3 linked regions of the Arabidopsis thaliana genome follow. The protein of the gene in region 1 interacts with the protein of each later gene in a pairwise test. Each region holds a gene or a part of one and is shown in the gene's direction. Other genes may lie near its edges.

Region 1 (6,863 bases):
CTTTTGTAAAATTTGGTCTCTGAATGTTTTTGTTTTGTTGAATCAGAATGGATTCTCAGATCAAGCACGCTGTTGTAGTGAAAGTGATGGGAAGGACTGGATCAAGGGGTCAAGTGACTCAGGTTAGAGTGAAGTTCACTGACTCGGACCGTTACATCATGAGGAACGTTAAAGGACCTGTCAGAGAGGGAGATATTCTCACCTTGCTGGAGTCCGAGAGAGAAGCTAGAAGACTTCGTTGATTCTCTTTGCAAATTGTTTTTGGTTGCTTTGAAGAACAAATGTTATATCGTTTGGATAATTAAATTCTTATTATGATGTTAAAAAATTTAATTATCAAAGATTGATGCTTTAGACTCTAAATCTATAATATATTAAAAATCATTTCTTTATCTTCACTTTGTTTTTTTTTTTTTTTTTTTTTTTTTTTGAACTAATATCTTCACTTTGTTATATCAAAGAAATAAGTCATGTTTCACACTCTGCCTAAACCTTTACCACCGAAAAAATGATGTTCATGTGCCTCTCTAATCATGCCTTGGAGATAACAAAAAGCTTAAGCAACAAATTCATCATTTTGAATATCATGGCATGCGCACACAGCACGCCTTATACGGGCCCCTGCTTCAGCCCAAGACATAGATTTGGTTATGCCTATACCAAAATTACATTATAAACCGGGATTGACACTAGGATCCGAAACCTTGGACTCCAGTTATATTTCCATTTTTATGCACAATTGTATTAATTTGTAACTATGAATTACATAGACGAATAGTAAATTCATAAGAGATGTGTCAATCAAGCCACAAAAGGGGTTTATCAGTCAATGTACCGGCCTAACCACTCCCATAACCAAAACCACATATCCAAACGTGGTTTTTCATTTGGTACAAAAACCCACACCTTAATTTCACAGACGAAATTTTGGTTGATAAAAAGTAACCATCTTAACCAGTCTCTCATTTACCCCCACCAGATATACATATGCTTATTTAAACCGGATGTAACACAACTCTTCTTCACATGGACCTCAAGTAAAATGGAAGCAAACACTTTGTTTCTTCTAAAAGCTCTTTGTCTTCTTTGTTTTAATGTATGCTTCACATTAGCTTCCGACCCTGATCCCATCCAAGACTTCTGCATACCAAAACCTGTGACATCTCCTTACCATGACCATCACTTCTCCACCAATCTCCCTTGCAAAAACTCCTCCGAAGTAACCACCGAAGATTTTGTCTTTTCCGGTCTAAAAACTGCCGGAAACTTCACGGAGACGGGGTTCGCCACCGTCCCAGTAGGCCCAGAAAACTTCCCCGGCCTTAATACATTAGGCATCTCGTTTGTCCGGGCTGATCTCAAACCCGGATCCATTAACCCACCACATTACCATCCGCGGGCGACGGAAGTAGCCCACTTGGTTAAAGGACGGGTTTACTCTGGTTTTGTGGACTCGAACAATAAGGTTTACGCTAAAGTGATGGAAGAAGGAGAAATGATGGTTTACCCAAAAGGGCTTGTACATTTTCAGATGAACGTCGGAGATGTTACGGCCACGATTGTCGGCGGACTTAATAGCCAAAACCCTGGTATTCAGAAGATACCGTCCGTGGTTTTTGGGTCAGGGATCAATGAGGAGTTGCTTATGAAAGCTTTTGGGTTGAGTCTTAAGCAGATTGGTACGTTGAAGAAAAGATTTGATCCTGTCATGTCTAATGAACATTGATGTTTTCTCTTAAAGTCTTATCGAGATTATTACATCGAAGTTATCTTTTATGTGATGGTAGTTCTTGATCATAATGTTATTTATATATTTTGACCCAAACAATGGTCATCTTTAGCTAGACAATGTTTCTTTCTACATGAATTATTATCACTTATCCACACTTCACATTTAGAATCCTGAATTATTATCACTAAACCTACATAATTTTGGCAACGTCACAAGCTTTGAAAATTTGACAATATCTTCTCCAATCCACAAAATATATCAAAATCAATGCCAGTTCTTCTTTGCTATAAGGCTCTAAAGGCTGCAAACAAATCTCCAATTTGTCGTGACACTAGCTAATTTGATCGCTGTGTACTCTTGAGTATGTGAGAAAAAGACCAGAGACTTTGACACTAGTTAACTTGGAAGCTACATTTCCAGCAATAGAAGAAACTTGCTATCTGAGCATAATGAAACGCTGCGTTTTAACTCTCATTTATTCTTTGGGGTTAAACTCATCGTTTTAATCACACAACAGAGAAAAGGAATTGTTAAAGCCGGTCCGGTATTAATAATTATCGAGCTTTGCAGTTTCGGTTCACTTGTTTAATACCGTACCGACAATTTCGGTTTAATTAGATTTCTATATACTCAATCAATATCTCTATTCCCTCCACATTCACAACCTTTTCATGGATCAGCCACGGCAAAGCTCGACGGCGTCTCAGCCACCGGAAACACCTCCTCAGCCGTCGGATTCGAAACCATCGACTTTAACACAGATTCAACCAACGCCTTCCACAAATCCGAGTCCCTCCTCCGTTGTTTCCTCTATTCCCTCTTCCCCAGCTCCACAATCACCATCGCTCAATCCAAACCCTAATCCTCCTCAATACACGCGTCCGGTGACATCTCCGGCGACGCAACAGCAGCAACATCTCTCCCAGCCTTTAGTACGGCCGCCTCCGCAGGCGTACTCTAGACCATGGCAACAACACTCCTCTTACACTCACTTCTCCTCCGCTTCGTCGCCATTGTTATCTTCCTCATCAGCGCCAGCCTCTTCGTCTTCGTCTTTACCTATTAGTGGGCAACAAAGAGGTGGTATGGCGATTGGCGTTCCGGCTTCCCCAATTCCGAGTCCTTCTCCTACACCTTCTCAACATTCGCCTTCTGCTTTTCCCGGCTCTTTTGGGCAACAATACGGCGGATTAGGTCGTGGAACTGTTGGAATGTCAGAAGCTACGTCCAATACAAGTTCCCCTCAGGTGGATTTTGTTCTCTCATATGTGCCACATTTCAAAGAATTGTGCTCTGTTACAAAAAAAATACCAACTTTTTTCTGTATGTGTGTGTTCAGGTTAGAATGATGCAAGGAACTCAGGGAATTGGGATGATGGGAACACTTGGCTCAGGTTCCCAAATAAGGCCGAGTGGGATGACTCAGCACCAACAGAGACCAACTCAATCGTCTCTAAGGCCAGCTTCCTCCACAAGTACCCAATCTCCTGTTGCTCAAGTATGTATTTTTTACCCTTCTGGCCTCTGTATCTTGACATAGGAACTCCAGCTTTGTGACTCCTTTGTTAACAACAACTTTGTTTGCACACTTTAATTCCTTATATTTTACTTTTGGCAGAACTTTCAAGGACATAGCCTTATGAGACCTTCACCTATTAGCTCTCCTAATGTCCAATCTACTGGTGCATCACAACAAAGCTTGCAAGCTATCAATCAACCTTGGTTATCATCTACTCCCCAAGGGAAGCCGCCTTTGCCACCTCCTTCGTATAGACCACAAGTAAATTCTCCCTCTATGCAACAAAGACCTCATATTCCTCAGCAACATATTTCTACGTCAGCAGCAACTCCACAGCCTCAGCAACAACAATCTCAACAACAACATCAGCCTCAAGAGCAACTTCAACAATTGAGATCTCCGCAGCAGCCTTTAGCTCACCCACATCAACCAACCCGGGTCCAAGGTTTGGTAAATCAGAAAGTTACTTCTCCGGTAATGCCGAGCCAGCCTCCTGTGGCTCAACCAGGAAACCATGCTAAAACAGTTTCTGCAGAGACCGAGCCGTCTGATGATCGTATCCTGGGGAAACGAAGCATCCATGAGCTACTTCAACAGGTATCCACTGACCTCTCTTCATATTCTCAACTTTGGGTAGCCATTTTGCATATTGACCAGTATTCTCATTCTCACGCTTGATTCTTACTTAATGTGTGATTGATTTCTTCTACTTGGATAGATCTCTTACAGATAAAGGGGAATGTATTTGATAAAAATAAAATAGAAGAGATATTGAGTTATTTGCTAATAATACCTCCCATAGAAAGCCAAAAAGCATGTATGATGACTATTGACAGATTCAGTAATAACATATATCGATAGTTTTAGGGGCTACTTTGATGGTGTTCAACACTGAACTCTCTGCATGATATCCATTGATTTTTTTCTCTAAATTTAAAATGCCTTGTCTATCCACAGATTGACCCGTCAGAGAAATTGGATCCAGAGGTTGAAGACATCCTTTCTGATATTGCTGAAGATTTTGTGGAGTCAGTAAGTAGCCCACACCGCATTGGTTAAGAGTCAAACATTTCTGTCCTGTGATGAGTTTTTTTTTTCTAACTCCTGCTCGTTGTGTTTCCTTTAACCCAGATCACAACTTTTGGCTGTTCTTTAGCCAAGCATAGAAAGTCAGATATTCTAGAGGCTAAGGACATCTTGCTCCATGTTGGTTCGTTCTGATCAATATTATCTACCTGCCCGTTTTCTTTCAATTTCTCATTCCAATTACAATGAGTAATTTCTTTTTGGTATCTTCTCCTTAAATGTAGAAAGAAACTGGAATATTAGGCCTCCTGGTTTTAGCAGTGATGAGTTCAAGACATTTCGGAAGCCAGTAAGAATTAGAGATCTGCATTTTATCAATTCGTCTTATTTACAAAATAGTTCCTAACATCTTTGGTTGTTTCCTTGGATAATGTTTTGCAGTTGACAACAGATATTCACAAAGAGCGACTTGCGGCTGTAAGTTTTAACACATGATTTTAAACATCCTAATAGTATAGATTATGGTTCTGAGTAGAAGAGAAACTTATATATTGAAGATTTTCTTGTTGATTTTGTATATACATTGTGGATTTTGAAGATAAAGAAGTCGGTCACGGCAACAGAAGCAGCAAACGCCAGGAATCAGTTTGGGCATGGGACTGCTAATGCAAGAGGCGGTCAGGCAAAGACACCTTCTAATCCCATGGGCTCTACAACTTTCAATCACTGATGTATTAGATCAACCCTCCAATCGTGTTTGGTAGGAATTTTCCATTAAAAAGGTACGAAATTTGTATCACCCATTTTGTACCCTATCTAGATCTCACAGTCCAAGATAACTACAGGCATGGAGGCTAGGCTAGATCTTAATTTTAACCATTAGTAAAGTATCTTACCACCTCATGGGATTGAATTGATTCAATGTTTTGCAAAACGGCCAAAAGTGTATGAATTGAGTGATGAGACACAGTTATAAAGCGGTTACAAAACCGGACTAGCCGGTATAATCCATTAAACAGATTCTTCTCATACAGTTGAATCTTCCATAGCTTTGATCAATTTTATAGTTTTTTACTGAATGTACACAGAAAATCTTGGTACAATGTTGGCTTCATTAGTCCTTTTAGCCTTCAACTATCTTCACTGGCGTCCTGCAGAATAAAACCGAAAAGAAAGCTTTCAGGGCACTTTTTTCGATCAAATTTACCCAGTGTATTAGTTGATTGATTTCACATACCCGAAAGGACTCTGCTTGATTGATAACAGCTCAATGTCAAGCTGCAAAAGAAAGATAACATAAATGAACACCACTTTAGAAGCCAACAAAAATTTCAATCCATTCAACTTGGTTACCTCTATCGTAGCGTTTGGAGGAATCTCTTGCACTCCTTTCTTCCCGTAAGCCAGCTCGGGAGGAACAATCACCAATCTCTGTATATAAACCTCATAGGGTCATCAAAACAAGACTTTGAGTGGCCTGACTTTGTGAAGCCTTTCGGTTTCAAAAACTAACCTGACCGCCTACACGCATCCCTTCAACACCAAGATCAAGTCCTTTCAGAACATTGCCTCTCTCTGATTGACCAACGTCAAACCCATAAGGCTGCAAAAATTCATTATTATCAGTAAAGGATCCTTGCATATTCAAGTACAGTAATGGACTCTGTAAGATTGCCTTATACCGTTCCACCTCCAACACCAAGTCCTTGTCGACTTGTCATGAACGTTATCCCTTTCCATTTTGCAACATAGTGAACCTGCGACACAACATTTGGGTTAAGCATCAACGCTTGTTAAAACTGTTAGCATTTACATGTCCAAAGTAAACCAGGAAACGTATTCACAACCGTACTGCGACCCGAGATCCTTTCACAGCCTCTGCTCCATTGCCAACCTTTATATCATAGTACCTGCCACAATATAAACAGAAACCAAACTTGTGATTATTGCGAGAAAGACTTGATTTTTCAATCCTGTTTTGCGGTATGAGTACTGTATCGAATTCAAACAAAAGATGATGCATTGGATTACGGACTTGAGACCATTGGGGAGAGTCGTGAAATCGCTTTCCGGTAACTTGGATGCACGTAGCTGCAGAGAATTGTATGTAAGAGATTGAGTTTTGAGTCAAGAACACAATGTATGCATAGATATATATATTGCTTACAGCTCTTCTACTGGTGCTTACTGCCTCGGCTGAACCAGTTGACAAAATCCCAGAAGCTGTTTTGAATCAGATAACAACATTTTCTAAGGATTTTGATACACTGAGCTTAAGTGGAGATGTGAAGAACTAATAGAGAATGATCTAACCTGTAGCGAGAAGACATCCAAGTAAGACCCTTCTCCCTTCACAACTCACCGGCGCCGGAGGCAGGACAGTCTCTGTTCTGATGACCTTTTCGCAGCCGGGAGAAGGTAACGAGCACCGGTACGGTTTGGATTGCCTTTTTCCTGCAAATTATAACAAATCCAAAAAAAAAACAATTTTTGCTTAATCGATGTCTCGATATTGGTTCAAAACATACAAGTAATTGACAGAGAGAGATAACAGATGTGTGTACTTGAGGGAAAGGGAATGGAGGA
Region 2 (9,524 bases), on another chromosome or scaffold:
AAATTGGTTCGGTTCAATTATAATGGTAACAAAACAAAAAAAAAAAGAGTTTTCGACTTTCGATTTGTGAAGGAGGATAATAAAGGAAAATCACTTAGCTGCGTCTTCTCCCTTTCGGCATGCTGACGTCATACCAATTAGATTTGAGCCACGTATGATAAGATTCAGTATGGGTCCCAAATGTCGAGTGCCGTTGTATACGACGAACACTATTAAATTGTCGGTAGCTCCTAGTTGCCTCCACGTGTAGATTTCCTGATGGCTTTCATGAAATCAAATTGGGTTTTTATTCATTTTTTGTGGAAGAAAATACGGAAGACCAAACAGTATCATTTTTTTTTCTGACGGCAAATATCTCGTGCCAATTGTTATTTTCTTAAAAGTATAGTAGGACAAAAGTGTAAGGGCAATTATATATACTTAGGACGATAAATAGTGTTTTATTTTGGCCACAATGTGACAATGGAAGAATGATGTTATATGATTCAAGGAGGCAATATGACCTAAAACGTGGCCTAAGTTTGGTTTCATTTGTGAATTATGTGGTTAACCTCATACTAGTTTTACCTACCCTAATTTATTTTTGGCATTAATTTAAATAAACAAAAATAAACCAAATTATTTTTTTAGTCAAAATGTTACAAGAAAGTAACAAAAAGTAAAAGAAGATGGTGAAGCAAGTTTTCGCAGTAAAACGCGATGGAACTTTGAGACTTCCTGATAAATATATGCTTAGATGATCAAAATTCATACATGTTTATGTCCATATCTATGCGATACTTTTGCTGCATTGTAGACACCAAAAAAACAAAAAAAATCTACTAGTACTGATGGTTGGTTCAATTGAATAAAAAGAATGCGATTGCGTGTGACCCAGAACACTCATACTTGTCATTGTTCAGCTGTCAGCTTTCGTCTGGTTTGCCATATATGTCAAATAGATTGTCCATATATATGCGCACGAGCTATTCATCAGTGGCTGCAACCAGAAGATTACAAGTTGAAGTTAAGAAGTGTCTTCAAACATCCCAAACAATAGAGAAAGTAATAAGATAGATATTTGGTTTACCTGTAGATGAACTGGCACATACTTGAATGTAACAAAATCACAGACCGGCCAATACATAAGTCCATTTTTCAATGTTGGCAGAAGATCTCTCTTCAATCTCGCCACAATTTCCTCAGAATTTTCGCCTTAAAAAGGACCAACAACGTGCCAGAACCAATCTCATAATGAGCACCATAAATTTACAGGCAGAGAAACCGTAAAAAGCTAAATCCGTTCAATCCATAGAGGTTTGATTATGTTATGTACCTTGTAAAGCAGCATTGTAGGAATAGAAGACTGTGTTGCTAACAGGTCCGAAAAGAACCTGCCCCATCATTATTTTCTTAAAGGTTGTCAACACGTCGCGCTTTGGCAATATCTTCGAAAGATAACTGAACCACAGATGCTGAGACGGCCCGAGAAATATCAACCCAAAGCTCGCCATTCTCGCTGTTCTTATCAAGTCAAAAGAACCAGTTGGCTCCATTGTGATCATCTGTTGAAGAATTTAGAGAGTCAACACAAATAAAACAAAACAAAAGGTTCTCTAGTTTCGCTCTAACATATTACTGGGGGAAGAGCACCACAACATGATCATAAAAAGACTCAAAAGAGAAATCCACTAATGACAAGAAGAAAAACAGAGTTTACAAGAACCCCAACACACACACCTAAAGCTTTTTTCACCTTAGCAATAAGTATTCACAAGAGATAATAACAAGAAGATTAGACTATTCGGATTGGAGTGTGAGTTTTCTGAGTAATCAAACCAATACTAAATTCATCCATTATTCAGTACAGAAAGACTTCAAATTCACAAGAGTACAATATACAGATTCAGTAAACACTGTAAGTACAGTCTCACACATCAAAGAACAACAGTTGAGAACACAGACTAAACCAAAAATATGAGAATAACAATTCATTAAAAAACACCAACTTTTAGTGCTATCTCCACCTATTCTTTACTAAAGTATTATAACTTCTTCCACTAGTAAGATTATGATCTAGTTTCAAATCAAATTTGGAATTGTCTTGGTATAATAACAAATGAAGATTAGTCTTTTCTTCCTAAATCAAGAGATAAAATTCAAAACTTTAACAAAATTCTCTAATTAGTAATGAAATGAGAAAGAACCCTAAATTCCAAAAACTACAAAGATTCAAAAAAAAACCTGAGAAGTGAGATCTGCAGCCATATAGATGACAGAAGTAGTGATACTCTTAGTCATAAAAGGATGTGATTCGAGCTTTCTCAAATACCATCGTAGAAACGCAGGTTGTTTCGAAGAAGAAGACGAAGCCTTCGTCGTTAGATTTCGCGACACGGAGAAAACACGAGGGATTACGAAATTCCCAGTTTTGCGTAGCTCGTGAATCGATCGGCCGGAGAATCCGAGAATCGGTTTCCGACCGGTGAACACTGTTTTCAAGAGAGCATTGTTGATCCCGTGAAGAGAGCGACGATCGGAGAAGAAACGTTTGCTCAATCCAACGATATTCATCTTCTTTTTTCGCCGATGCTTCGTTAATGGCGGCAGCTTACACTGTACTTTTGATGTATCTCTCTCTCTGTACCAGAACTTTTAGTCTCAATACACGCAAACAACAAACAGTGCTTAACCAAAACCAATAAACGACATAAAGTTTGATATATCTCTCCACGCAATAAAGCAAACGACAGCGTTTTTCGTATTCCATTAAACGTCATGCAGTTTTTAAAAGAACACCAATAAACAACATGAGGTTACTCATCCATAACAAACGGTATCGTTTTTTTTCGATCAAAATTAAAAACGACATACAGTGCTAAAACAAAGCTAATAAACGACATGAGGTTAGTTTAGGACTAATCTTATAACATCTGTTTCCTATTAATTCATCTACGCCGAGAGCTCTCTTTCTCTCTTTGCCTTCCCCAGCTATTTCAATGGATCCTTCAATTTTCAAGCTCCTTGAAGAAGATGAGGTTAGGTTTCTAATCTCACTCGTTTCAAAATCCAATTTTGTGTGATGTATCTGGAATCGTCTTCGTGGTTTTTGATTCCGGTCGAATTGTATTATTTTAGGATGAATCGATGCATTCAGGAGCTGACGTAGACGCGTTCCAAGCTGCTCTGAATCGTGATATTGAAGGTTCTATGACAACTTCAATACCCCACGTGACAAACCCAGGTTTGGTTTCTCTACAAATTCGCTCTTAAATTTTATGTCTGAGATTTTAATTTTTGTGGTACTATTAGTTAATATAAAGATAGTATCTTTTGGTTTTATCTTGGATTGGCTGCTTTGGGAAGCTTTGACATGTTAGCAAAGTTGTGCTTGTTTTTAATATATACAGTTTTCTCAGATAGGTTATTACTCTTGGAACATGGATAACTTAAGAAGATGCCTTGGTTAGGCTATATTGTAAACCTTGCTAATCTAGTGACATGTTTGGAAGTTTCAGTCCTGTATTAAAGCAATAGTTAAGGTCATGAAATATTAGTTTGTTAGGGTTTCTGTATGTTAATATCGGGATAAGCTTTGTCATTGCCAATATAGCCTGTACTAGTTGATTGTTGAGTCATTAAAATTGATCAGTGTGATGGGATTTATTAGCCAGGGTAGACATAGGTTGGTGATGCTGATACTATTTTAGTGTTAGGCTTTGTTCTTGGTTCACTGCAATCTTGACGATGATTACGTGTCTCCTTAAATCATTATTTTCTGTCTCTGGTGCTGGAAGTGATCTCTTTCCTCTGACTACACCATTAAATATTGAAATACAAATAGGTTGTGATTTGTGGATAGGTGTATGAGAGCTACTGAGTATGCATTTTGTGTGCATAATCTGCTACAACAAAATCCTGTCTTTTGTCCTTTTTTGGGTATTATATGATTTTTCCTCCAGTTTAACTTGTGATTTGAGTATCATCAACCAATTGCTTCTATTATTTTTATAGGAAACAACCATTCTTCCAGGCAGCAGTTTTCGACATGGAAGAATGGTATTGGAGATTCTAATATCAATGTCCAGACTCAGCATAGCCTTGAAAGTACTCAGATGAAGGAGCAAGAAGGATCGACTTTAGAAAATCAACATCAACATGATTTGAAACGCGCAAATGAACCTCATTTACAACACAACCAGCCTCAAGACCTTCATCGAGCTGGTCAACTCTGGGAGAATCCCTCGCAGGTCCCCCAATCAACTGGGTTACCGATTAGTGAAAAGAATCCTACTGGTAATGAATCAGATAGATCCCATAATCAAGAGAGTGAATCTCAGTATATGAAACTGCAAAAGATGAGTAGTCAACAGGCTCGGGGAGTGGAACCGCCTGTTAACCCTATGAATGTTAACCCTATAAACCGCAACCCTAAGCAAGTACCATTTGCTGCTTTGCTTCCTACTTTAATGAACCAACTCGATAAAGATAGAGCACTGCAGCTCCGTACCCTATATGCTAGACTTAAGGTATGTCTATCTGTGAAATCATTTGACATTCTGTTCCAAAGCTATTGTATTATCATTTCTTTCCTTCTGCTACTTTTTTTTGCAGAAAAATGAAATCCCCAAAGAGGGGTTCACACGACATATGAAAGATATTGTGGGCGATCAGATGCTCAGGATGGCAGTTAGTAAACTCCAGCAGGTATTACCATTTTGCATATATTGTGCCATGTTGTGACTAAAACCAGACAACCAACCTAGGGTATTAGTTTGTAAGTGGAATCATGTTGGAATTGTTTGTCTAAAAGTTCTGCTTGCTAGTGCTTTACATTTTTACTCTTTTTTTACATTTGCTCTTTGAATTTAGCTGGATCAAAAGACTATTGTTTTTTATTAGCTTGAATGCACATAGAATGGTCTGACATGAAGTAGAACTGTTGATAAGTCAAATGATGTTTAGAATATATATTTTAGCTTCATAAATTAGATACAACATATTGAATTAGGGAAAAACTCTTTATTTTCCTCTATTTTGATCACTACCAAAAAGTCGAGATTTACTTTCTTACAGAATACCAATCTTAGCAGATTATTATTCCTTTCCAAAGGTTATCAGACTTATGCCTGGGATGATCTAATCATATGAGTTTACTGACTTGCGTTTGTCCCACATTTACATGTTAAAACGGTGCTAAATTTATACGTCCAGCGTTTGTGGTCAATGTCTGCAGAGTAGGACTAGTTCAAGTACACCAACTGATACGATTTAATCTTATTTCCCATTATAATTATAATAAGATACGAAAAGTTTAGTCCAATTCTAATTAGAATTTCTATTTTCTTTCCCTTTTTCGTTTGGGAGTTATCTTTTCCTATATATAAGGTTGAAGCTCTTTATCTTTGTCCGAGGGAACCAAAGTTATTCTCTTTGTTCTGTTTTCTACTATTTTAATGAAGGTTTTGCTTTTTGAACTGGGTTCTTAATTCCAACTAAAATTGTGCTAACCGTTGAAGCATTTGAAATTGGGTATAGATTCTTATTTATTTGTAATTTGTGCTCATTGTTTTCAGGTGAACTATAACCAGGGAAAAATTGGAATTCAAGCTCCTTCTACTGGTATAAATTATTCACTAATGCATTCTTTTTTATTTTTCTTTCACCATTATCATAAAAGCTTCTATACTCTCCATAGATATATCTTATTACTTCCATGCAGGAGCCAATATCTTACCTGATTAAATCTATTCATTCGCAGAAATCAATAATCAAAAATCTCAGTCTGATCCTCGTGCAGTCCATCTTAACCAACTACCGTCCTCAGCTTCAGGCACCTTAGGCAGTTCAGTTCCGGTACAGGGACTTACCAAACATCCGCAGCACCAGATGCAGCATCCACCAAGTTCTTTTCCTATGTATACCACTTCTGGTAGTTTTCATTCATTCCCGGGTCCAAACACCAATGCTTCTGGTTCCACGTTGAGACCTCACCTTCATGATTCCCATATGAGACATGTGGCACATAACCAGCCTATGGGATCAACTGGTCTTGGAGGACCGCCCCAGTCTACCACAAACATGATGACTATGCCCAAGTTTGAGAGGCCAAGTTCTGTAAATGATCCGAGTAGGGTTCAGGGTGGCGCTACATCGCACTTCCAGAACAGCTCATCATTGCCTCTAAATTCTGCACCTGGTCAAGGATCATCAGTGTCCCACGTAAAGCAGGAATCAGTTGATCAAAGTTTTGAAAAGAATAATGCAGCCTCAATGACTTCGAATGAGGACTTAGAGAAGGAGTCCTCTAGAATGGTTTTATCCACGCCTAACAACATGGCGCCTGCAAGCTCTGTTTCTCCTTCCATGACAACTCAACTAGACGCCAGCACAACTGTAAGAGATCTATTAATATATAGTTTTCTCATTATAAAAGTCAGTCTCCACTGTTCTTGTTTGCCTCTTCTCTTTGAGCTGCTGGGGCAACTATGGCGCTTCAAAAGCCCTTGCATATTTTCCGTGTTATGTCCGACAACCTGGACATCTATTGTTTTTCCTTGTTTTGGGTTTTATAATTTCTACTATAAACAGTAAATAGGAAAAGTTTCAATTGGACATCATTAACATTGTTTGTGTATCCATCAGATGAATTCTCGTGGCCCATTGGGAACCTCTCAAGGAGGAGCTAATGCTAGGATGCCACCCAAAAAGCCTTCTGTTGGTCAGAAAAAACCTCTTGAGACATTAGGTTCTTCACCTCCACCACCAAGGTAATTGATCTGCTCAGGCTTAGAAACAGGGAACAGTTTTTTAAGTCACTCTTTCTTCGTTAATAATAGACTTCTGATGTATGGATTTTTAAGTGTAAACCACTTTTCTTTTCGAGTCCCCAAGTAATATAAAATCATAATCGTTTTGCATGGATCAACTTGCAGCAAGAAGCAAAAAGTAGCAGGGAATTCTATGGATCAAAGTATTGAACAGCTCAATGATGTCACTGCAGTCAGTGGTGTTAATCTCAGGGTGCGTTTCCTGGTAGCTTCAGTTTTCAATTTTAATCTGGATGTAGATTACTGAAGTAAATCATTTTTTGTCTGCATTTGATTTAGGAAGAGGAAGAACAATTATTTTCTGGGGCCAAGGAAGATGGTCGTGTTTCCGAAGCATCTCGGAGAGTTGTGCACGAAGAAGAAGAAAGATTAATCTTGCAGAAGAATCCTCTGCAAAGAAAGCTGGCGGAAATTAGTTGGGATACTTCCCATATCTTCTTCTATTTTAATTTCTAGTTATTGAATCACTTGGAGACGAAGCTTACATATGCTTTTCTTATCTGGCAGTGGCTAAAGCCGGGTTAAAGCAGATAAGCAATGATGTCGAACGGTGCTTATCTTTGGTGAGATGTCAACTTCGTGTGCATTGTTTGCATACAATACTTGAGCTTCTTTTTCCCCTTTTCTCATGTATTTGCTTTCAGTGTGTGGAGGAAAGGATGCGAGGACTATTATCCCATATAATTCGGTTGTCAAAGCAGGTCAGTCTAACTTTCTCTTACTACCTGGTTCAACATTGTTTGATAAATTCTGTCTGAAGCTAAAAATGCTTCTTCAGCGGGTTGATGCTGAGAAATCTAGGCACCGGACTTTTATCACATCAGATATTCGGCTACAAATCAACGAAATGAATCAGAAGGTGAAGGAAGAATGGGAGAAGAAACAGGCTGAAGCAGAAAAGCTTAAGAAACCGAGTGAGGTCTGTTCTGAGCTCATTATCTATGTTCTTATGTTTACTACAACACACAGACATTGCAAATTTCATCTTTTTGCTGCAGAGTGAAGAAGGTGATGGTGGAGTTGACAGTGAGAAGGATAAAGAAGATAATCGTTCAAAGGGTGTGAAGGTATGGAGAAATTAATAATACATTTGTGGAAATTAATAATACCGTTGCAGTGTTCTTACAAAAGTGGTTTCGACATGTGAAGGGAAATAAAGAGGATGACGACAAAATGAGAACGACAGCTGCAAATGTTGCTGCTCGTGCTGCTGTCGGAGGAGATGATGCGTTCTTAAAATGGCAATTAATGGCTGAAGCTCGTCAGAAATCTGTATCTGAAGCTGGTAAAGATGGGAATCAGAAAACTACTTCAGGTGGAGGAAAGAACTCCAAAGATAGACAAGATGGTGGACGACGGTTTTCTGGTACTGGTGAGTCCATCCTTTTTAACTTGTTTCCCCTAGCAAAGCCGATGAACAAACCGATAAACCCTCCTTGAAAGCATGAAATGCTGCTAGTGTTAGGAAATGCTAAGAATCTAGCTGTGGTGTGGGGATTGTCTATCGAGTTAGTTCCTCACGGTTTTGGTTTGCGATGATGAGCTTTGGATTCTTGTTTGCAGGTGGTCGAAGAGTAGGGAAAAACCAAGGTTCGTCGCTTCAACCGAAAGTGGTGAGGACAATCTCTGTGAAGGATGTGGTTGCGGTCCTCGAAAGAGAGCCACAGATGTCCAAATCCACTCTGATGTATCGATTAATTCAATAGAAAGAAGAATCATTATATTTATAAGCTTCTGATGATAATTTAATCGTCAAGGCCCCAAGTCATTTATTTTTATACCATTGTGATTTGTTTCTGTTATGTTCATTGTTTTTTCATGGCCATTTCAACTCAAACGTCAATTTACAACACATCTTCTAGTGACTCATATCTCAATACTTTGCATCCAATGCAAAATTGAAAGACAAAAGTACTCTTTGTTAAATCATATACAGTATGTATCACACCGTCTAGTTAGCGACTGGACCCATCAAATAAATAATCACAAATTATTAATATGGTTGCTATAACTTCATTACTCTTATTGATATTTCTTGTAAATAGATGATAAAAATATTGTGTTTAGTCCAAATAATACACGCAAACTCGAGAAATTTGTCTACACTAAACCATATTATTCAAGTAAAAGAATGAGTAAAGATCACGCGGAACTTAATTGTGGTTTTGTGGTCCTCCCCACCTTCTGTGACTCGCACCTCTATCCCATTTACTACTTCGCATAAAATACTCGTTTTCACTCTATTCAATGCCAAGAAAACAACGTTGTAACTACTAAGAACCCATAAATATACTGAAAACACGAATTTCAATTATGTTTTTAGTGTTTCATCGTGTAACTTTTTCATAATATTTAAGGATTCGATCTTATCTATATATAGACAATACACTTCAAATTCTAAGGATAGACTAGAAGAAAACTCAATAAGGAAAAGTTTCATACTAATATTAGATGGAAAACAATTAAGAAAATAATAATAATACTATGCTTATGGTTATGATTTTGGTAGATGAAGTCGTAAAGAATATAAAAAAAAAGAACAACATTGGAGAAAATTGTCTTTAAATTACTAGGGTTTGTTTTTAGTAAATATGTGGATGAGTAAATACAATCTTAATGCAACCATTTTATAAACTAAAGAACGATATAAATAAGAATTCTAGTAGTACTAGTACATAGTGATTAGTACAACACTTAAACTCTTTGACAAATCGA
Region 3 (7,851 bases), on another chromosome or scaffold:
GCATAAGAGTGTCCATGTGAAAATAGCATAGCATAGCATGTTTAACTTTAAAGGATCATCTTTTCTTCCTTTTTTTGGTTCGATGTTGCTGTCAAAACCACATAATGTGCAGGCTTGATGTTTGGATGAGATGGTGAATAAGAAACAGTTTTCTACATTTCTTCACGTCACTTTATTATTTTATTTTCAATCAAGTTTATTTGCTTGTATAGATAAACTTAATGATTGTATTTGTCAAAGAAAACTGAAAAGTCATTGAATTATGGGAACGTTCCAGGTTGGTGGAAGTGGTGGACAGCCATTTGTGCTTTCTCAAAACTTCTTGCACAGTATTTCAAAGTCTCCATTCCCAGTTAATACTGGGACAAGAGCAGCCAAGTTCTCCAGTTGGCTTTTCGAACATGAAAGAGACCTTATGGCTGGGGGTGTCACTCTTACTTCGGATTTGCAATGTGGTGATATTTTAAATTTCTTTTCATTGGTTTCTTCTGGTGAACTCTCTATATCTGTATCCTTGCCTGAAGAAGGTGTTGGAGAGCCTGGAGATCGAAGAGGTTTGAAACGTAGAGCTGATGACATAGAAGAATCTGAAGCTGAGAGTTCTAAGAAATTGAAGCTACTAGGCGAAGGTGAAATCAACTTCCGAAAGGAAAAGGGTTTCCCTGGTATAGCAGTATCTGTTCGTCGTGCAACTATACCAACAGCTAATGCAATAGAGTTGTTTAAGGATGATGACTCTCGCACTGGTGAATTTCATTTGAAGTGGGGAGAAGCGAATAGTGGCTGTGATTCTGATGACATGAAAGAACTTTTCAACTCTACAGATTCTACTGTCATACCAAGCAGTCTAGGTGATTCTCCCTGGCAAGCGATGGCCAGTTTTACTAGTAGCATTATGTCCGAATCAACAGATGAGGAAGTTAGTTTATTCAGTCCCAGGGTTTTTGAAACCGTTTCCAATGCCCTTCAGAAGGCTGGTGACCAAGGTCTGAGCATTGAAGAAGTCCACAGTCTTATTGATATCCCAAGTAAGCATCAGGCAAACCTTTTTAACAGGCTTTTATTTTTGCATGTGCTGGCGACTTCCTTCAGTGTTTTTATTTAACCTTTGTGTATTCATCAGGCCAAGAAACTTGTGACTGCATTGTAGATGTACTTCAAACATTTGGGGTAGCTTTGAAGGTTTGTCTGATTATCTCTTATTTTACAAACCCTGTTGCCTTTATTAAGATGAAAGTTGCAGTGCTTGGTTTACTAGTTTTACTTACCTGGATTGTGAACTCAGTTCATGTTACATCGTTTTACAAGCAACTTGTTAACCATACAATATCTTATTCAGGTAAATGGCTATAATAATTTCCGTGTTGTCCATTCCTTCTACCGATCAAAGTACTTCTTGACATTGGAGGAAGATGGAACTTCCCAAAAAAGTCAACAGTCTCTACCAGTGAACTACCTAGAGAGAGCTGTTGGGGAACATAGGTCCAAAGATATCATTGCTAGCAGCTACAGTACTTCACAGGACATGCGAGAGCATGTCGCTGGGAATAGCGTTCACAAGGTTACAATTCTTAACCTTCCTGAAACGGCTCAAACGAGCGGTTTGCATGAAGCATCTATCAAAGCTCCATCTGTTACTTTTGGAACGGGTATTGAAGGTGAAACAAAGGAATCAACTTCTGAAAAGTCACCTGTGCCTATATATCCATGGGTAAACGCAGATGGGTCAATAAATAAAATTGTCTTTGATGGACTAGTTCGCCGTGTTCTTGGTACCGTGATGCAAAATCCCGGTATACCAGAGGTAAATACTTCTCCATTTTCCACCCAATAAGTTTTTGCCATCATGGTTTCGAACTCTATGAAAATACTAATCGAAACATTCATTTGTGGCAGGACGAGATAATAAACCTAATGGACATACTAAATCCTCAGGTAATAACAATCATAAACCCTAAAAACCTCTTCTCCTATGGTTTCATTTACTGAAACTGATCAAAACTTCTTAAAGCTCTTTGTCTGTTGTCTCTATATACGGTGGTTGCTCTCTGATAACATTCTGTAAAAAAATTTCAATATCAGAGCTGTAGAAAGCTTCTGGAGTTGATGACACTCGACGGCTATATGAAAGTGAGGGAAATGGTGCAAACCAAATTCACCGGTCCTCCGTCTCTGTTAGCCGGTCTCGTCTCAACAGGTCCTAGAAAACCGGAACTTATTCGCCGCAAACACTTGTTTGCAAACTCCAAGGGACTCTTTGCCTTGTAATGTCTGTAAAATCTCTCTCAGTCTCTCTAGTTCAGTCCAAAACTCGATGCAATAAATTATTAATGTTTATGTGGGAAATTATTATAGTTTTGTGATTTAAAGTCCACAAGATCTTGTATTTGTATAGCTGTAGGTGTGATGATTAATTCTCTTTATAGATTCATAGTGTTGGATTCATATCCCTATTATAGGTGAGTTTTGGAAGGTTTTATTCAGTTAAAAAGAGAGCTTATTTTTTATTCAACTAAAAGGTCTCCTACAAGTTACAAGTTATAACTAAATAAAGATTTCTATTTAATTTGTAGACGGAAAAATCTCCAAATAAGAATGAATTAAATGATCAACAGGATGTTGTTTCCATCTAGTTAGTGTAGTTTACTTAGTTAATCAATAAAGGTTTGAATCATACAGAATCAAGAGGCAGAAAAAACATTGTGCTGAATAAATTTAAAAACATAATTCTGAAACACCAAAAACGTGAAAATAGTGCACACTAGTTTCATCACCTGAGTAACGAAACAGTTTGACTTTTTGTTGACGTATTTGATGTAATAAATGGTGAAGAGAAAAAAATGTAAAATATTGATTGCATTGGTCTATGAGATAATCCTACAAAAAGTGTTAGAGCAGTTGTGCGAGAGTCTGGAATAATGAAACACAGTTCAGTACAAGTATCTTTTCGATCATCTTCCGCTAAATCTACTGACGTGTACGGCTCAGATTCTTTTTTCCCCAGAACTGATTCAACAAACAAAACAAAAAAAATAGAAGACCATATTTTATCGGTCAATAAACTTCTGGGAAAAAAATAAAACACGATTTCATGAGAGAAAATCGACAAAACCCCTCTCAACCAAATAATACACCTTCTTCTTCTTCTTCTTCTTCTTCTTCTTCACAGCTGGGTTTCTTCTAATGGCGGAACCGATTCCCTCATCGTCTCTGTCACCGAAATCTCTACAATCTCCTAATCCTATGGAACCTTCTCCTGCATCTTCTACTCCTTTACCTTCATCATCATCTCAACAACAACAACTCATGACAGCTCCGATTTCCAATTCTGTTAATTCCGCTGCGTCTCCGGCGATGACTGTAACTACCACCGAAGGTATTGTAATTCAGAACAATTCGCAACCTAACATCTCCTCTCCCAACCCTACTTCTTCTAACCCACCAATCGGAGCTCAGATCCCGTCGCCTTCTCCTCTCTCTCACCCTTCTTCATCTTTAGATCAGCAAACACAGACTCAGCAACTCGTTCAACAAACTCAGCAATTGCCTCAACAACAACAACAGATTATGCAGCAAATCTCTTCATCTCCGATTCCACAATTATCGCCGCAACAGCAACAGATTCTGCAGCAACAACACATGACTTCACAGCAAATCCCAATGTCGAGTTACCAAATTGCTCAATCTCTTCAGCGATCCCCTTCTCTTTCTCGCCTGAGCCAAATTCAGCAACAACAGCAGCAGCAGCATCAAGGTCAATACGGCAACGTGTTGAGACAGCAAGCTGGTTTGTACGGAACCATGAACTTTGGTGGCTCAGGTTCAGTTCAACAGAGCCAGCAGAATCAGCAGATGGTTAACCCTAATATGTCCAGAGCAGGTTTAGTTGGCCAAAGCGGTCACTTGCCTATGCTTAACGGTGCTGCTGGAGCTGCTCAGATGAATATTCAACCCCAATTATTGGCTGCTTCGGTACCCCATTCTTTACTTTTACTCTCTTTCCCTTTGTTGATTCATATCTTTCTTTTTGTGGATGGAGTCTCAACTTGTAGTATTGCTTTAGATGGAGATAGTGTTGCAATTGTTTTTGTTGATATGAATATAGTAAACTCTGCAGTTTCTTCTATTATTGTGTGAACAACAAATCATTTTCTTTATTCTGAGACAAATGAGCTTTTCCGTTGTAGCCGAGGCAGAAATCTGGCATGGTTCAAGGTTCGCAGTTTCATCCGGGAAGTTCTGGACAACAGTTACAAGGGATGCAAGCTATGGGAATGATGGGATCACTGAATTTGACCTCGCAAATGAGAGGTAACCCTGCTCTCTATGCGCAGCAGAGAATCAACCCGGGGCAGATGAGACAGCAATTGTCACAGCAAAACGCTCTTACTTCACCTCAGGTATGAGTTTTAAAAAGTCGTATCTTACGAACTTCTTTCTCTCACATTGTGAACTTTTTTATTGACTACTTGTTATATCTTATGGCTCATAGATACAAATGAATTCTCGTGTTGGATCCTTTCACTTCTTTTGACTTATTGTTGCACAGTCTTAATTAAACTGATCCATGAGGTTTTGGTACTTTAATCAATCACTTAATATTGACTTGCAGAGTTTTTCCAATATCTGTAATTGGCAACTAAAATACCTGAATGACGCGGGAATGATCCTTAAATTTGACAGATTTACCGTGTAATTGTAAAATCTGGCCTATGTATCTATAGAGGTACTAATACATTTATGTTGTGCAATATGCAAATTCCTGATCATTTTGTGAGCATGTGTTTCTTTCGTTTCAAGTTAAAAAATAGAGTTGCGTCGAATCTCATGTATCCTGTATCCTCTTCACTTGGTAACTTTTTGTAATCCCCTGTGTAGGTCCAGAACCTCCAGAGAACATCTTCTCTCGCATTTATGAATCCTCAGCTATCGGGTTTGGCCCAGAATGGACAAGCTGGCATGATGCAAAACTCTTTGTCACAGCAGCAATGGCTGAAGCAAATGTCGGGAATAACGAGCCCCAATTCATTCCGACTCCAACCGAGTCAAAGACAGGCTCTTCTCTTACAGCAGCAGCAGCAGCAACAACAACAACTGTCCTCTCCTCAGTTACATCAATCTTCTATGTCCTTGAATCAGCAGCAGATATCACAGATAATACAACAGCAGCAGCAACAATCACAATTAGGCCAGTCGCAGATGAACCAATCCCATTCCCAACAACAACTACAACAGATGCAGCAGCAACTACAGCAGCAACCACAACAGCAGATGCAGCAGCAGCAGCAACAACAACAGCAAATGCAGATTAATCAACAACAGCCATCTCCAAGGATGTTGAGTCATGCAGGACAAAAATCTGTCAGTTTAACGGGTTCACAACCAGAGGCTACACAATCGGGTACAACAACACCAGGTGGTAGCTCAAGCCAGGGAACAGAAGCAACAAACCAACTCCTTGGTAAAAGGAAGATACAGGATCTGGTTTCGCAGGTGATTTTCCCTCTTCAACTCTATAGCTTGTTTCTATCTTCTTCTTCCTTTAGAAATATGTTTCATTCTATTGTATCATGATGTTCAGGTGGATGTACATGCGAAACTGGATCCTGATGTTGAAGACCTCCTTTTGGAGGTGGCAGATGACTTCATTGATTCGGTTAGAAGCTAATATCAATTATTTAGTATTAACTTCAGCTTTTTTATTTACAGATTTGTGAAAACCTATCTCTATCTTACCTAAACTTCATTGCAGGTCACATCTTTTGCATGTAGCTTGGCTAAGCATCGTAAATCATCTGTATTGGAGCCCAAGGATATATTACTCCACCTAGGTCTGTACTTAATTTGGTGATGAGCTCTGTTCAATGTGAATTCTAAGTAGTTGCTATTGTTACTCATTTTACTGTTTGCTGAGTTATAATTTTTTGCAGAGAAAAACTTGCACTTGACAATTCCTGGATTCTCAAGTGAGGATAAACGTCAAACAAAAACTGTAAGTGATTTTCTTTTTAAAACTCTTTAAAAGCACAAAAAGTATATGTGAATGTGCATCACCACCTGAATGTCCAATAAAAGAAAAAGAGAAAGAACATGAGTTTGCTAGATATTGATCCCAAGTTAACAACTTGCAGGTACCAACTGATCTCCACAAGAAGCGACTTGCAATGGTAAGCTGAATGATATTCCAAACATCTCTTTGTGTACAGTCGTGCTTATGGACCTCTCTCTGAAGTTTCTTTTTTGTGTTGTGTCGCCAGGTGCGTGCATTACTAGAATCCTCAAAACCAGAGACGAATGCAAGCAATTCCAAGGAAACTATGAGACAAGCGATGGTGAACCCAAATGGTCCGAATCATCTCTTAAGACCCTCCCAAAGTTCAGAACAATTGGTTTCGCAGACATCCGGTCCTCACATATTACAACACATGACACGATACTAAAGGACTTGAATATAGAAGCCTGAGCCAGCTCTCACTGCTATGTTCATCTTCTTGGTAAACACTTTTATCATACACAAACACCACTTACATAAATAAGAAAACCTCGGGTATTTATGGCTGGCTATATATAGTCCTCAACTTTTCCTATTATAGGTTGCAGGAGTTTACACATCTATGGAGAGTTGAAGGCACAAGTAGTGAAACTGTATGTATTATATATAAAATTCATGAGTCTTATAGGCAATCAAATAATACAGTTATTTTTTTCGTAGTTGTGGGACTTTCTAACTATTTCGTCTTCTTTTTTAGTGGGTTTTTGTTTTTTCCTTTTGTAATTTTAGTTGTCCTCTCCATTTTAAGCTTGAAAGTTTTAGCTCTTTGATGACTCAGCAGTTGATGATATGTTAAATGATGTCAACTATATATACACTTAAATCAAATGCATATAGATATTTATATGAAGAAGAAGTATATACAAAAATAGAAATCAAGCACTTAAGACAAACGAAGTAATAAAATTATTAAGAGTAGTTGGTGCTTCAATGTTAACAGCGTGTCCTGTTTCCTTTATTATCTCTAATCTTGAACTCTGTAAATGCCTGCAAAAGTATATAATTTTTATTAGTTTCGACATATTGGATTCACGATCAATAATCACATGCGTTCACGTTCGATGTTTCATCTCTTTTGACCTAGTAGAAATATTAAATATTTTATACGGATGTAGTTATTATGACAACACTTGTTATGGGACTTATTACCATAAAATATCAATGTAGTATTTACCTTTGCAGCCGATAAGCATGCTCCAAGGGAAACACCTTGTCCTTGTCTCCCCAAACGATTAACGTTTTCTGCATCATATATATCAAATTAATCAGAGTCATATTTTATTCGTAGATTCGAATAAAGCATCTCAATCCATAGCATCCCTCTAGAAATAATATAAAAGTGAAAGCAAACAAACGAGAATAGTGTTTCCACTATCCAAAAGATGAATACTTAAAACCCATAAAAACAATCCAAAACATCAATTAGTTCTCTATCAGCGACACATTAATCATCACGCCAACTTATTAATATATATCTTGATGCTTAGAGTTAAACCATTAGTGATCAGGAATTAAAAAAAGGTTAACTCAACGAAATTTTATACTACCTGGGATATTACAGGCAATTCTGGTTCCTCCTCTCGTTCCAACAAATTCTTAGCTAGCTCAAGAAGCTCCTGCCGATTTTTCTCATACATTACCTATAAGAAGAGGATGAATTTTGCAAATTCCAAACCTTTAGGATCATGACTAACGAACAAACAATTTACGGGACCAGATTCGGAAATAAACAGATAAAACAGAAACAGAACAAACTTACAGCGATGAATTGGGAAAGGAAAAAGTCTGGAACCCAATCG

The links.
Region 2: the proteins of TAF12 (region 1) and TAF4 interact in a two-hybrid assay, tested with the Arabidopsis thaliana proteins (one study listed by BioGRID).
Region 3: the proteins of TAF12 (region 1) and EER4 interact in a two-hybrid assay, tested with the Arabidopsis thaliana proteins (one study listed by BioGRID).

What each region holds. Positions count from the first base shown.
Region 1 is NC_003074.8:3,102,339-3,109,201, reverse strand, and holds TAF12 (TBP-associated factor 12), read left to right. Parts: upstream 1-2,375; 5' UTR 2,376-2,403; coding exon 2,404-2,979; intron 2,980-3,071; coding exon 3,072-3,230; intron 3,231-3,350; coding exon 3,351-3,848; intron 3,849-4,208; coding exon 4,209-4,283; intron 4,284-4,382; coding exon 4,383-4,461; intron 4,462-4,561; coding exon 4,562-4,626; intron 4,627-4,718; coding exon 4,719-4,754; intron 4,755-4,875; coding exon 4,876-5,007; 3' UTR 5,008-5,322; downstream 5,323-6,863. Other genes in the region: AT3G10090 (Nucleic acid-binding, OB-fold-like protein), read left to right, coding at 48-242; AT3G10080 (RmlC-like cupins superfamily protein), read left to right, coding at 830-1,726; AT3G10060 (FKBP-like peptidyl-prolyl cis-trans isomerase family protein), read right to left, coding at 5,401-5,428, 5,515-5,555, 5,631-5,708, 5,791-5,880, 5,960-6,034, 6,130-6,187, 6,313-6,368, 6,445-6,500 and 2 more.
Region 2 is NC_003076.8:17,314,599-17,324,122, reverse strand, and holds TAF4 (TBP-associated factor 4), read left to right. Parts: upstream 1-2,937; 5' UTR 2,938-2,978; coding exon 2,979-3,017; intron 3,018-3,117; coding exon 3,118-3,223; intron 3,224-3,993; coding exon 3,994-4,508; intron 4,509-4,593; coding exon 4,594-4,686; intron 4,687-5,555; coding exon 5,556-5,601; intron 5,602-5,740; coding exon 5,741-6,375; intron 6,376-6,624; coding exon 6,625-6,749; intron 6,750-6,914; coding exon 6,915-7,002; intron 7,003-7,088; coding exon 7,089-7,224; intron 7,225-7,316; coding exon 7,317-7,372; intron 7,373-7,453; coding exon 7,454-7,510; intron 7,511-7,587; coding exon 7,588-7,728; intron 7,729-7,807; coding exon 7,808-7,876; intron 7,877-7,958; coding exon 7,959-8,181; coding exon of another isoform or gene 8,182-8,249; exon of another isoform or gene 8,250-8,285; coding exon 8,286-8,515; 3' UTR 8,516-8,662; downstream 8,663-9,524. Other genes in the region: AT5G43140 (Peroxisomal membrane 22 kDa (Mpv17/PMP22) family protein), read right to left, coding at 899-979, 1,070-1,194, 1,316-1,544, 2,224-2,553.
Region 3 is NC_003070.9:5,982,996-5,990,846, reverse strand, and holds EER4 (Transcription initiation factor TFIID subunit A), read left to right. Parts: upstream 1-2,912; 5' UTR 2,913-3,183; coding exon 3,184-3,972; intron 3,973-4,187; coding exon 4,188-4,400; intron 4,401-4,878; coding exon 4,879-5,493; intron 5,494-5,581; coding exon 5,582-5,656; intron 5,657-5,752; coding exon 5,753-5,831; intron 5,832-5,930; coding exon 5,931-5,992; intron 5,993-6,131; coding exon 6,132-6,167; intron 6,168-6,257; coding exon 6,258-6,440; 3' UTR 6,441-6,494; exon of another isoform or gene 6,495-6,593; 3' UTR 6,594-6,863; downstream 6,864-7,851. Other genes in the region: AT1G17450 (B-block binding subunit of TFIIIC), read left to right, coding at 278-1,028, 1,124-1,182, 1,340-1,804, 1,897-1,935, 2,083-2,268; AT1G17430 (alpha/beta-Hydrolases superfamily protein), read right to left, coding at 6,928-7,039, 7,227-7,294, 7,600-7,692, 7,812-7,851.